2 linked regions of the Drosophila melanogaster genome follow. The protein of the gene in region 1 interacts with the protein of each later gene in a pairwise test. Each region holds a gene or a part of one and is shown on either strand. Other genes may lie near its edges.

The links. The genes of interacting proteins can lie anywhere in the genome.
Region 2: the proteins of Oatp26F (region 1) and nbs interact in a two-hybrid assay, tested with the Drosophila melanogaster proteins (one large-scale study listed by BioGRID).

What each region holds. Positions count from the first base shown.
Region 1 is NT_033779.5:6,626,405-6,634,053, forward strand, and holds the start of Oatp26F (organic anion transporting polypeptide 26F), read right to left. Parts: upstream 6,004-7,649; 5' UTR 5,915-6,003; coding exon 5,680-5,914; intron 2,665-5,679; coding exon 2,342-2,664; intron 2,287-2,341; coding exon 2,112-2,286; intron 1,200-2,111; coding exon 1,097-1,199; intron 359-1,096; coding exon 1-358.
Region 2 is NT_037436.4:9,719,890-9,725,153, forward strand, and holds nbs (nbs), read right to left. Parts: upstream 3,306-5,264; 5' UTR 3,235-3,305; coding exon 3,216-3,234; intron 3,151-3,215; coding exon 2,329-3,150; intron 2,272-2,328; coding exon 737-2,271; intron 677-736; coding exon 596-676; 3' UTR 559-595; downstream 1-558. Other genes in the region: CG14174 (uncharacterized protein), read left to right, coding at 1-558; defl (deflated), read left to right, coding at 3,653-5,122, 5,180-5,264.

The sequences.
Region 1 (7,649 bases):
CGAGTACATGGGCGAAATGCTGAACTGATTCTCGATCTGTTTGGGCAGGAAGGCGGCAAATCCGGCTATCACCAGACCCTCCGTGGCACCGGCCAGGTTCAGGAAAAAGAAGGTGGGATTAGCCAGCAGGCTGAGCACCGCACGTGGCAGTCCCCTGACCACATTACTGGAGTCATCCGCTTCCGATATGGTGGCATGTGCCTCGGAAACCCTTTCCAGCTGCAACTTCTCCGCGCCGGGCAGCAACTTGGGATATCCGAAAATGGGCAAGGCGATGAGCAGACACATGGCGGCTGCGAAAATGAAGCCCAGCCACCAGGCTCCAATCCACACCTTGCTGTCGCTGGTCAGGCTGAGTCTGCAAGGGGCCAAGATTGACTCAATATTAGAAAGGATCTAGCTTACTAAGGTGATTAGTTTAAATCGATTAAAGTATTCAAATCAAAAGCCAGAGAAATGAATGCAAACAGAATGGCTATACCTATGATGTTTCCAACTTGGCGTCAATTCATATTTTGTTAAAATGGCTCCAAAAATATAAGCCCAACCACTCGTAAACATGTTCAAAATCATAAACAAAATTTCCATGTTCCCGACATTATTTACGTACTGGAGGGCTAAGGTTGAGCAGACATTATGACTTATGGCATCACCTTGACAATAAGCCATGCGGTTGAATCCGGCCGGATTGGGATGTAGATGGGTTTCCGTTTTGGTGCGACTCTGCTCCATTCCCAGCTATCCAACCATCCAACCACCACCCAACGGCCCACCGTGAAGGTGAATCAAACAAATGCTCATTCTCATTCGCACCTTATTTCCTCGTTGTCAGCGGGAATGTTGTTTTATTACTCTCTGGAGATATTTACACGGCGAGGTGCTTTGTGGCATTTGCCGTTGCCGGGTAACAAATAAGCTCCACAGCATCGAAACCCCCATTCCCATTCCCATTCCCGTTCCCCTTCCATGCTCCACTCCCCCAAGGCCGGTATTAAAGTCACCTGCTCTTTATCTCCATCAGCACTCCCTTTTTCATCCGTTGGCGCTAAGTCGCCCGATTAATAACAATCATTGCGAGCTTATCAGATGCACTTACTGAACGGGATCCACGGTCATCCAATCCGTATAGATGAGCAGCAGTTGTCCACCGAATACATAGCCAATCGCTGGTCCAACGGTGGCCATTGTGTAGTAGATGCCTGCAACAATGAACTTCTCAATTAAACTTTAACTCTACGAACAATTGGATGTGCCATTTGTCAAGAATTCAAAAGTTATTCCAATTATCATTATCAGTTAGTCACATCTTTATTTTGCATGAAAAAGGTCTTGATTCTGCTACTCCTGTTTGTACAGTACGTTTCAAAGTTATAAAGATATTTCAAGATCAAAGATAGTTGCTTCGATAATCTTGCCCAGTATGCAATATGTTTATTAGCTGGATGTGCCAAAAACTATTGAGAAGCGAGTAGCCAATCGGCGGATTGTGCCTTTATTTATTTATCTTTGAAACGCACCGTGCCATCACATCCTGGAGCTACTCCATCAGCCCCAAAAGGGGGGCCTGCCTCCCCGGGATGAAGCGAATTTCAATTGTCTCAATGCCAGACAGCGATATCCAGGAAGGCAAAGCGGCAATGCTGGACGGGTTTGATAATTTCACTGTCGTCTTCGGATGGCACGATAAACCTAACTAAGAGGCAATAAATTTCAGCTGCCGCTGGCTCTGGCCCCCATTCCCAGATCCGCGTCTCAACTGAGTCAGCAACAATCTGGCTCTTTAAAATTGGGTCAAACGAGGGGGGAAAGGAGCGGAGAACCCTCGCCAGGATTGGGATCGAACTGAGAACTCTGGGCGGGGGGCGCAAGAGCAAATAGCAAATAGTATTTACTCCCTTTGTAGCCGACGACGTCGTTTGGCAATAAGGCGAATAAAAATAAATATGCATGTGTGAGCGAAACTAGCAGATACTTTGATATCGCAGCCAGGACACCACCAGCCCAATCCTGCCCAGAAGTGTGGGTATTTGTGCATACTTCATTTGTTGTGCGACTGCGGCAGACAAAAGTTTCGGCGCGTCTTATCAACGGCTGCGTCGTTTGCAACTTACCCAAGTAAACAGATGACATCTTCTTTGAGACGTTCTCATCGATATATGTGACGCCCAGCGTAAAGAGGGGCGATGCTCCGGCACCGTGGAGCAATTGGGCGGCCAGGAAGAGCCACACCGTCCAGGTCAGATTCTCGCTCTGCCCCTCCCCCATTGCGTTCAGTTCGCAAGCGGTCTGCAAGGATATACGAGTTAATCGCAGCGGGTCGCCATGGCAAGTGTCTGCTTACCATCGACTGGCTGGAGTTGGAGTTGAACGGCAATCCCGTTGTCTCGCACACATTGGCCTCGGCAATAGTGGCCCGGTAGTTACCCACCAGGAAATTGGGCAGCAGGAAGACCAGCGATCCCATGCCCATCACAATCAGTCCGATGGCGATGAAGCGCGGCTTGGAGGCACCACGTCGTCCGCCGTAGTAGGTAACTGGTACTAGGCAGGCGAAGGAGGCCAGATCGTAGCCACTGGCCACCAGTCCCATTTGCCGGGAGCGAAGTCCAAAGCGACGCTCGATGGTGGAGATGGACACATTGATCAGGCCGTTCACGATGAGACCTGGAGGGAAAATAAACTTTTCAAACATTAGTAATGAAGATGGAATGCTAGGAAAAACTATATATTTAGATTGGCGACTGGATTTTTTAGATAGATAATCCTCTAGTAAAACTCGAAGTGGATGCCTTCTTCCATTGCAAAATGTGTAGCAAGCTTTTTAGGGCAAGAAATGTCAGATTTATTGGATAAATCTATTAAATATAAACTAAACTAATTCGAAGATGGATTGAAGTTTAAGATGGATAGGATTTCATCTCTAAGACACCTTTCGCTCAACATTTTGGCATCCTTCTTTAAGGATCATCCCCCAGAGGCAGAGTTATGACATGGTGTTGTATGTTGTAACTTCATGGCAGACTATCAACAGATTGTCGCAAAAAAAATAGACCGTAAGGGTGAGGGCGGGTGTAGTCCTGCTGACAGTGCAGAGGGGAGGGGAATTGAGTGCCACGGGGGCGGGTCATAAATTAAATATCTGCACGACAAATTGATTTTGAGGGCTTAGGCGAATTTTCTATCATAAATAAATATCTGTTAGTTGCGGGCCCGCCCACCCCCGCCACCTGCTAGTCCATTGTTGCTTAGAATATTTCTTTTTTCTACAACAAATTCAATTTATTTTTCAATAATCGCCAGAAAGAAGAGGTCTGCTGGTCATCTTTGGCTGGAAAGGTGTTAGAAAGCGGAGGAAACTTTGTAAAGGGAGCATTGGATATATTGTTAGTGGATGGGGACACTTACAAGTCATTTACCCCACTAAGTGCAATAATTTAATAGATCCCAATGGAAACCTTGAGACGGGGAAGGTTTTACTCGGGAGTGCGAGTGCGAATGTGACCTTTGTCACTTGAAGTATAAAGTGAAGTGTAGACGGCTGTATTGGATACGTGACAATCTAGGATTTTGCATGTGCATCGATGCATTTTCCTTGGGATGCGTGCGATGCACAAAGATACAAATTGTTTGCCTAATTAGCAGTAAAGATATTTACATGAAATTATGAAAAATTTAAAGAGTATAACTAACTGATTAGTACAATAACATATATGTATCTGAAGATTACTGCCTATGCATTTATCAAAGTTGATCTCTAGAATCGTAATATACACATGTTCACATCTTCCGCATAACTGCCATTTCTAATTCATGCATATGAATTATACGCCTAAATTACTCATTTCCATAGGAAAACGCTGAACTCGTAGCCATAAAAACAACAATAAACCATTTGAACTGGATGCACGACGAACGCGACCATCCAAAATTGTTGCGGATGATTTATGTTAATGCCGTGTCAACTGATTAATATTTTCGGTCACGTGCCGCCTCATCCGCATCCGTAAGCCGAGCCACGGGCGGCCGGCTGGTTGTTCCAACTCTGTGTCACCCACATCCAAACGGAAGCCTTCGCACGTCGTGGGTCAGTCGGAGGCGGGAGCAGGAGCCCATTCCATTCCATCCCATCCAGCGGCCAAGTGCAACAGATGCCAGCCGGCCATTCGAGCTGCAAGAACTGCATGGATGGACTCAGTTTGCTTACAGCACACGGCCAAGGCATAAATACTGGGTCGGCATCCTGGCGGAGATGTTCGCGTGAAGCCCTCCTCAACCGATCAGAGCATTAAGAATCCTTAAAGCCTTAATATCCTTATGAACTATTTAAAAACTGAAACAGCAGAGTAAAAAAGTAGGTCTTTGGAGGCCTCTCATGGATCAAGTACTTCCTCAAGGATTAGCCTTAAGAAAAACAGGATAATAATCGAATCAAGTTTTGGCTTCTAGCATAGTGTTCCCTCACGTTTGCATCTCCATGCTCGCTGGCAGCCATCCAAAAGTGGTAGAGCCGAGTGCACTTTTGCAAATTTCATTCAATCGCTGGAACACAGCCTAATCTCCGGAATCCCCCGGAACAGCCATAAACGTGTCGTCAGCTTTCGTGAAATTGGCGAATTTTAATTAACCGCTTGAACCCATTAGGAGTGGGAAAACTGGTGACGAAGCTAGGCCGTAGCCATGGGCATCAACCAGTACCAGCACCGGCTTGGTTCAGCCGGGGATCTGGTGTTGGGTAAACAGCGATTAACATTGTTTTGATTTATGCCGCTGCCCTCTCGCTCTCCGGATCACGCCTCCTCCCCGCCTAATGCCATATTCCATATTCAAGGGACTGGGGCGCCCATAACCAAATCCTTTGGAAATCGCTGGCAAAACTGGGTCCATTTACACTGCCAGTCGCTCTTTCAAACTATTCAAAGTGCGGTGATTTTTTGAGGTTAATGCATCCTCGGGCTAGAGCATCATCCGTACCCCGACTGCTCCAGGCATTATTAATTTTTAATTCGCCTTCATTCACAGGAGCTACGGCCGGGCTCCAACTCCATGCCCAACTCCTTGGGCGAACTCTTATCTGTTGCACACAGTCCTGCTGGCCGAGCCTGAGAATGCCCAGGATGCTAATGAAGCGATGCGGATGTCCTCATCGCCTTCGCATTGCATTGTCTTGGCCAACTCGAGACTTCTCGGATACACAGGCTCGCTGAAAGTTTTCTTAGCAAAAGTTTGTCTTGTAATCAAGAAAAATATGGCCATGTTGATTCAATATACTCCAGATGGCAAAGGTGGATCGGTGTCTGCCGTGCAAATAAATATTATTCCAAGCTCTTAAGTCGCAGGACAAGTTAGCCAAGTTAATTATTCTAGATTACCAATGTTGTTTCAAGACTTTAAACCATATTGAAAAAGTAAAGAACATTTCTACATAAATTATTCATTGTCTTAATCGCTGTCTTTGTTATTATGATCATATCCAAATGATAATTTTATATGTATATATATTTATAATATTAAAATTTAAAAACTATGTTACTCCACTGTGATTACAATGATTAAGTTAACCGCTTAACCGAGAAGAGATGTACACAAAATTCAAGAAGCAAACGAGCGTGGGCGCAAAATTCGCGCGACGAACCATTTAATGGAATTAAGTAAGCAATTCGGAACGAGAAAATATATCACCTTGGAGAGCACCGCCCCAGCAGAGCCAGAAAAGAGCCCATTTGGCGGTGCAGAAGCGCTGTAGCCACGCCGGATTCCAGCCGCACCATCCAAATCGCTGGCACTCCGCATCCGAATCCGGTCCGGAGATGGAGCTGCCCACCCGACTGGAGCGGGCACTATTGTTGTTGTTCACATTGGAGCACTTGGGTGCCACGGCGATGCTCGAGTCCAGCTCAATGGTAGCCTCCGACATGGTTTCTTTCACTTTCTGGTGCCGCACAACAAGACGCGTTACGAATGCCTCTGCGATCCGCACCGAACGACGGCCGGAAACTGACTGAGCTCAGATATTCAAACAGCAGCTCAGCTCAGCCCGACTTTGCTGTTAAGGACTCGTCGCTAACAGCGGTCTGTTGAAGGAAATCAAACCACCCTGCTGTGCCTGTACCGACACCCACTCGGAACATCTCGGATTCATGAATGAAACACCAACCCGCCCACCCACTCATTCAGCTTCGCTCCACTCCACTCACTTATTCGCACCTATCAACAGTTGTCATGGCGCTGCTTTCGTTAGCCGTATTATCTGGGGAATTGTGAGGCGACGATGGAGCAGGCGGGGAGCATGGTGACTCCTCTCTTATGAAATATAAATTATATTCCCCTTTTGGCAAATATTTATCAAACACAAAGAATTTTAAAAAGTGACCCACTTAAACTCATTTATAGTTTCATTACAACTTTCATGTTTATTCAATAAATTTTTCGGTTTAGTAGTTTTTTTCTTCTAATTTATAAACTTATTTTATGTAAAATAGGTACTAAACTTGCCAATGTTAAATAAAATCATAGCTATTGACAAAAAAAAACAAATTTTTTAAGCGAAGAACAAATTATTTAATTGGTTTGCTGGTGAATTCAGTTGGCCAAAAAAAACGGGGATCTAGTTTAAGGCAAACTTCTAGCGACCGGTAAGCACCAGAAATATCAACTATTTGTAAATTAAGTACAGTACATTTTTTAAGTAATTCCACTTAACTGATGAAGATACGTTGAAACATTTTGGAAAATATTTGAAAAATTTGTTTGCTTTTGACTACTTAAATACGTACATAATATATAGATATATACACATATCCATATTGTTACACTTAAAGTATTAAACAATAAAATAGTAAACAAAAACAAAAATCGTTAACAAAGAGCAAAAAAAAAATATATATATCGGAGCTCGGTGTAGCTTCGTCTAGACTCCCCATCTTCCAATAGAGAGTACACACGCGGTATTTACAAGATCTTCCATGAATCAAAGTATGTTTACATGTTATTAAATATATATGTATCTATATGTGTGTGTGTGTGTGTGTTGCATTTAAATTGTATCTATAACGTTTAGGTAGGTCCATTAAGGGCTGACATCTTGAAAAGTTGCATGGTTCCGGGAAGACATTGGTGTTGATGGGTATGGCTTGAGCAAGTTTACTTAGAGCAAAAGTGTTCGAATGTACACACCCTGTACTTAACTCATATGGTATGGTTTGGTTATAGATACACGTACAGTGAACGCTTTGGGCACTACGACAAATATCACATAATGAGATCAATTGGATTTATTTTGGGTACTTTTGTTTTCGTTTGCGCTTCATTTCCGTTGTTAAGTTTTGGGTTGTGAAATAAGTATGTACGATTATTAATTGCACAATGTCATTGAACTTAAGACTTCCTTCCGTTTCGTTATTTTCATTCTTGGCTGGTGGGCTAATTACATTACAAACAAAATAAGTGGCAATTCGTAAGCTGATTAAGTACCTAATTTATGTAAGCAGTTGTTTTGAAAGTTGTTCCAATTCGTAATACTTCAGTTGAACCGATTTAGTTTGCACTTTAGATTTGAGTTGAGAAAGCGAGAAGAAATTAAAATAATGAATTGCACTATACATAGGTGTTAAGTAATCCTATGGCGGGAGAATTTCCCTTAATAAATTGTA
Region 2 (5,264 bases), on another chromosome or scaffold:
ACGCTGCTAATCGCTGCCATTGCCAAGATTAGCAAACTGAGCTCCTTGCAGGCCGGCAAAAGTGCCATACTTTACAACAAACTGCGCCCCCAGATTGCTAACTTTCCGCAGGTGGAGAAGCACAAGTTTCTGGCGGAGAATCAAGAGCTTCCTGCCAGATTAGAACCTCCAACGAGAACTAATAACCAAACGCAGAAAGACGAAACACCAGACATTGTCCTGATACCGAAAAAAGTCGTCACCAAAGTAGAAAAAGCCAAACTGTTGGCCAAATCTGATGTGGGCACCATAATTGCCAGGAAGGAAACACCCGTTCAAGATACAAAGAAACCCACATTCAATGAAAACGTTCTGGCCACGGTGGCGGATGCACAGAAGTTCATTGAACGCGAGTCGCAGGCCAGGAAACTGAATCCTCCTCCAGAAAGTTGTTTTACCAGAAAGATAGCCAAGCACGAGTGGCTGGCCGCACAGACGATGTTCAATCGCAAGTTGTCCAAGGAGCCGGAAAAGGCGTTGAACATATTTCGCAAGTTTATTGTTAGCAAAATAAAGTAACTTCACAAGCGACGGTTAATTACGTTTAGGCACGACATTAAACACAGGTTACCATACCATCAGCCAGCCGAAGACTCTTAAGCGCAACAATTCGCTTTTGGGGATGAGGATTTTTGGTCTAACAGAGGTACACAAATAAATAAGTCGTTTTAATATTTGTTATTAATTCGAGACTCACCTTTACAAACTTCTTAAAGTTCTTGCGGCCGCCATGCTTGTTCACAGAATCCTCAAGAGAAGCATCCACTTCCTCCTGGGAGCGAATGACAATGTTTAAGTTGCACATGCGCACCTCAATGCTGTCTTTCATGGCGGCCAGCCATTGCTCCTCATCGGGATCCGCCTTAATAGAGGTTTCCATCTTAACTGAGTCTGCATCTATTTCGGATTTGATATTATCGTTTAGCCTGCTACACGATAACCAACCACTGATGTCCACTTTCTTGGGTCTATCTCTACGCGGTGCCACTATGTACTTGGATTGCTTCTTGCTTTCCGTTTCGGGTACAAATGGTTCGGTTAACCGGGAATCCTCGTCATCATGATCAGACGGTCTTTCAGAGTTGAAGTTAAACAAGCCATCCGTGGAGTCATCATTTCTCTGAGCCTCTTGCGTCTTTCGTTTCTTTTTGCTGTCTGCAAAGTTAAAAAGATTATCACAATCATCGCTGTCGCTTTCGTTTAGCAGCTCAAGGCGTAAACGCTTGCGCGGTTGTGTCTGGGATTGGGACTCCAATTGGGGTGGCACTGGAGCTGGTTCTTGTGCCTGTGATTTCTCTAGAAAGTCGACTACACTGATTCTGGCAGGTGCATTGCCTTTGCCTGCGATTCTTGGCTGAACCACAGTCTCTGCTGGCTTCTGTGGAGATTTACGGAATTGAAATAGGTCCCCTTCATCTTCTTCGTCACTCGAGGCCACCGATAAAACAGGACGTTTTGCAGGCACTGCATGTTTGTCAGCCGGTTGGTTGGTAATATTTGTGGCCAATGATTTCCCATTGAGTCGTGGTGAAATCCTGGTGGCAACGGGTGCTTCCGTTTTCTTCTTGGCCATCGAAGGGATAGTTGGAGCTGGCGTTTCTTTTGGTTTCCGAGCATTTTCGTTCTCCTCATCCGATGAGTCAACACAAAAAACCTGTTTGGTCTTCCGTGTTATGTGCTTACTCGCAGCTGGAACAGGTGGATGTACGGATTTCTCCTCAGCGATGGCTTTGCTCTGCCTTGTTACTCGTTGAACTGGAGCAGGCGCCGGAGCTGGTGTCACATCTTCTTCCAAAGACGAGTCCAACAATATGGCATTCTTTGATTTCATGGTCAGTTTCGTAGCGATATCCGATTTAGCTCGCTTAGACAATGTTGATTTCTTCTCCTCGTCCGAGGAGTCAACTGTTGAGGCATGACTCCGCTTACGCAAAGAAGCTTGGTCCTCCGAATGGGGCTTAGAAGCATCTTGTTCCATTTCACATTCAATTGACTCAGGCACCACCAGTTCGGAAATGGGCGTGGCATTGGATTGCGCCGAGTGGCGTTCCGTGTTGGGCACAATGATCGAAGAGTTAAAGGCCATCGAGGAAGTTACAGACTCCGTGGTGGGCAATGAATCGGAGATGAACTTGTGCGTTGGGTTGCAGAATTCTGTTATAGAGCAATGTATTAGGGCCATGCCAATCTCGTACTCCTGGATAATACGTCGACCATTCTGTTCCAAAATATCTAAAAATTATAATACATAATAATACTTAAACGCTGTGATGTGAGCAATATATTTACACCTATCTTGTATACTATTGATTGATTCAGTGGCCTGCGACTGGGACGATGGCACATACTGTATGACTATCACATCACTCTTTGTTAGGAATGTTTTGCGCACACCCGAATTGATGTCCTTGCACGTGGCTCCAGCCTTCTGCACAACTGATCCGTACATATCAAAGTGTTTGCGGTTCATGAAGACGAATGTCTTGCCGGCGAAGAGACGGGTACGCTCAGGACGCCAGGTGACATCTATGTTGGTGGGCTGGTAATCCTCCGGCTGAGGCCAGCCCTCCTTGACATGGATGCTCTGCGCTGCCTGCAGCATCTTTCGCCAGTAGGGGAATGTCACAATCGGCTTATTCTCGAGCATAGCGTGCAGTAGTTTCACGGTCACCGAAACTTCGTTCATGGTTAGATGGGAGCACTCTTCGGTCCAGTTCGAAGTGACCGTGCCGCCCATGGGTTCAAGCATCTTCGTGAGCTCCTGGACCTCGGAACGCGTTAATGCGGAGACAGTTGTAACCAACTTCAGTTGGGTCACCTGCCAAATGCTCATGTTTGCGCCAAATCGCAAGCGTGTGCCCACAGGCAATGGAGTCGATGTTTTGGCAGGCACCTTGCGCGGCTTTTGGGAATTCTTGGGGAAAATGAAAGTGCCATATCTGGAGCCAAGGTCCTCGATATGCAGGGTGTCATCGCCATCCGCTTCCGTTTGGATGAGCAGCTGGGCATGATTGCGACTTATACTGAGGTCCTGCGCAACAATTAAATCCGTGGCCAGGCGACCAATGGTGTACACCTTTTTGCCAGGAAACAACACAAACTTTTCGTCATCTATAAAGAGTATTTAAAAAATGAATAAACTAATAATCTCTGTGTTTTAGACCATTTTTACGTGCCTTTAGTCAAAACAAACATAATTTCAAAACATTAACAAATTCAACAAATAGCGAGCAGTGTGACCTTAGCAGATTTGCAAATTATCTACACAGAGACAAAGAAGGAGTGAGAATAATAGGCTACATCACTTTCTACATAATTTTCTAAGTTAATAGTTGTTTCTTAAATTGATTTTTTTCTTATTTTAGAAATCAGGATAATTTTATTATCGATCGACAAACGCTTATAAAGAATTGACAATATAGACTTTGGATTCAAACGTTTTTTTTACTGTTAAGTGACCAGCTATCGCTGCAATGATACCGGAGTTTCCTACGAACGACAAATTAGCAAGAAGAAGCATTTGCAGCCGGTTTGTTTTTGTGTCGTTTGGCTAATGAAAACCTCAATAAACACGATTTATCTGCGATAAATGTGAGTGAGGAAACCTGTAACCATGTCTCACCTGACCGGCACCCGCGTGAGCACCTTCAACGAGAGCTTCCTTAACGAAAATGAGCACGACTCGAATGCGGTGCTCATGGAACTGGACAAGGGACTGCGGAGCACCAAGCAGGGAATCCAGTGCGAGGCGGTCGTCCGCTTTCCGCGCCTCTTCGAGAAGTATCCGTTTCCCATTCTCATCAACTCGTCGTTCATTAAGCTGGCCGATTACTTTGTCAGCGGATCGAATCTGCTGCGCTTCTGGGTGCTCCGTGTTTGCCAGCAGAGCGAGAATCATCTGGACAAGATCCTCAACATTGACAGCTTTGTGCGCTGTATCTTTGTGGTGATGCACTCCAACGATCCGGTGGCGCGTGCTCTCCTCCTGCGCACCTTGGGCGCCGTTTCCCGTGTGATTCCCGAGAAGCAACAGGTTCATCATGCCATTCGACGTGCTCTGGATAGCCACGATACCGTCGAGGTGGAGGCTGCCATCTATGCCAGCAGCTGCTTTGCCGCCCAGTCAAGTTCCTTTGCCATCAGCATGTGCGCCAAGATTTCGGACATGATCGAATCGCTTCAGGTGCCGGTGCCAATGAAGCTGCTCCTGATTCCCGTGTTGCGACACATGCATCACGAGGCTACCACAGCGTCACTGGTTAGCAGACTGTGCATGGATCTGCTGCCCAAATATCCAGCCCAGAGCTTTGTGGTGGCCATCATAGACACGCTCACTCAATTGTCATCACGAACGCTGGTGGGAGTGCCCGGTCAGCTGGATGTTCTGCTGGATTTCATGCAGGACTTAAGGACACCAGTACGCATACAGGTGCTGCGATCTTTCAACGAGTTGGCCGGACGTCAGAGCGTTCATGCCTGGCCCAAGCCAGCCATCAAAGCGCTCATTGATCGTTTTGAATTGTGTACCAATTCCAAGGAGCAGTTCCTCTTCCTCTCAATCCTGCTGAAGTTAAGCGAGTGCCCGCTTACTTGCCAGCAGCTGCTTCGCGAGCATCGCGTAGCCCTGCTCCGTTTGTGCATCCAGTGCATTAGCAAGCTGGACGACTACACCACCGCCACTCAGGCCATGGCAGTTTTGTCGGTTCTAGTAGCATTTGGTTTAAAAAAAAAGGGCAGCGGCGAGCAGGTGGACGATATTCTTCATATGGTCAACCTGCACATGGAAGGATTGCTCCTTTGCACGGCCAAGCGGTCGGAGTGCACCCGCGATCTCCGTAGGGTGCTGACATACGGTATAAGGATCACTAAAGCCAACGCTGAATTTGGAACATCCTTCATTGGGATCGTGACCAATAGCCTGGGAGATAAGGGTGCCTATCCGCCAGCCAATGCGGAACTTATGTGCGAGGCACTGGCGGGTCTGTGTGAGCACTTTCAGCTGCGTAAGTACGCCTTTTCCACCGCAGAAGATTTGATAGTAGACGAAAACGCGATGGACACCGATGAGTTGCCCCCGCCCAAGGTATCTAATGCATTAATACATCTATGAAACAATTTCTAATTTCTAATTTAACCACAGATAAATCCCATGCTAGCTCGTTTGCCGCTCATTCTGCACAAGCTGAACACCATTATCGACCAGGAGAATTGCGATCAACAGTTGC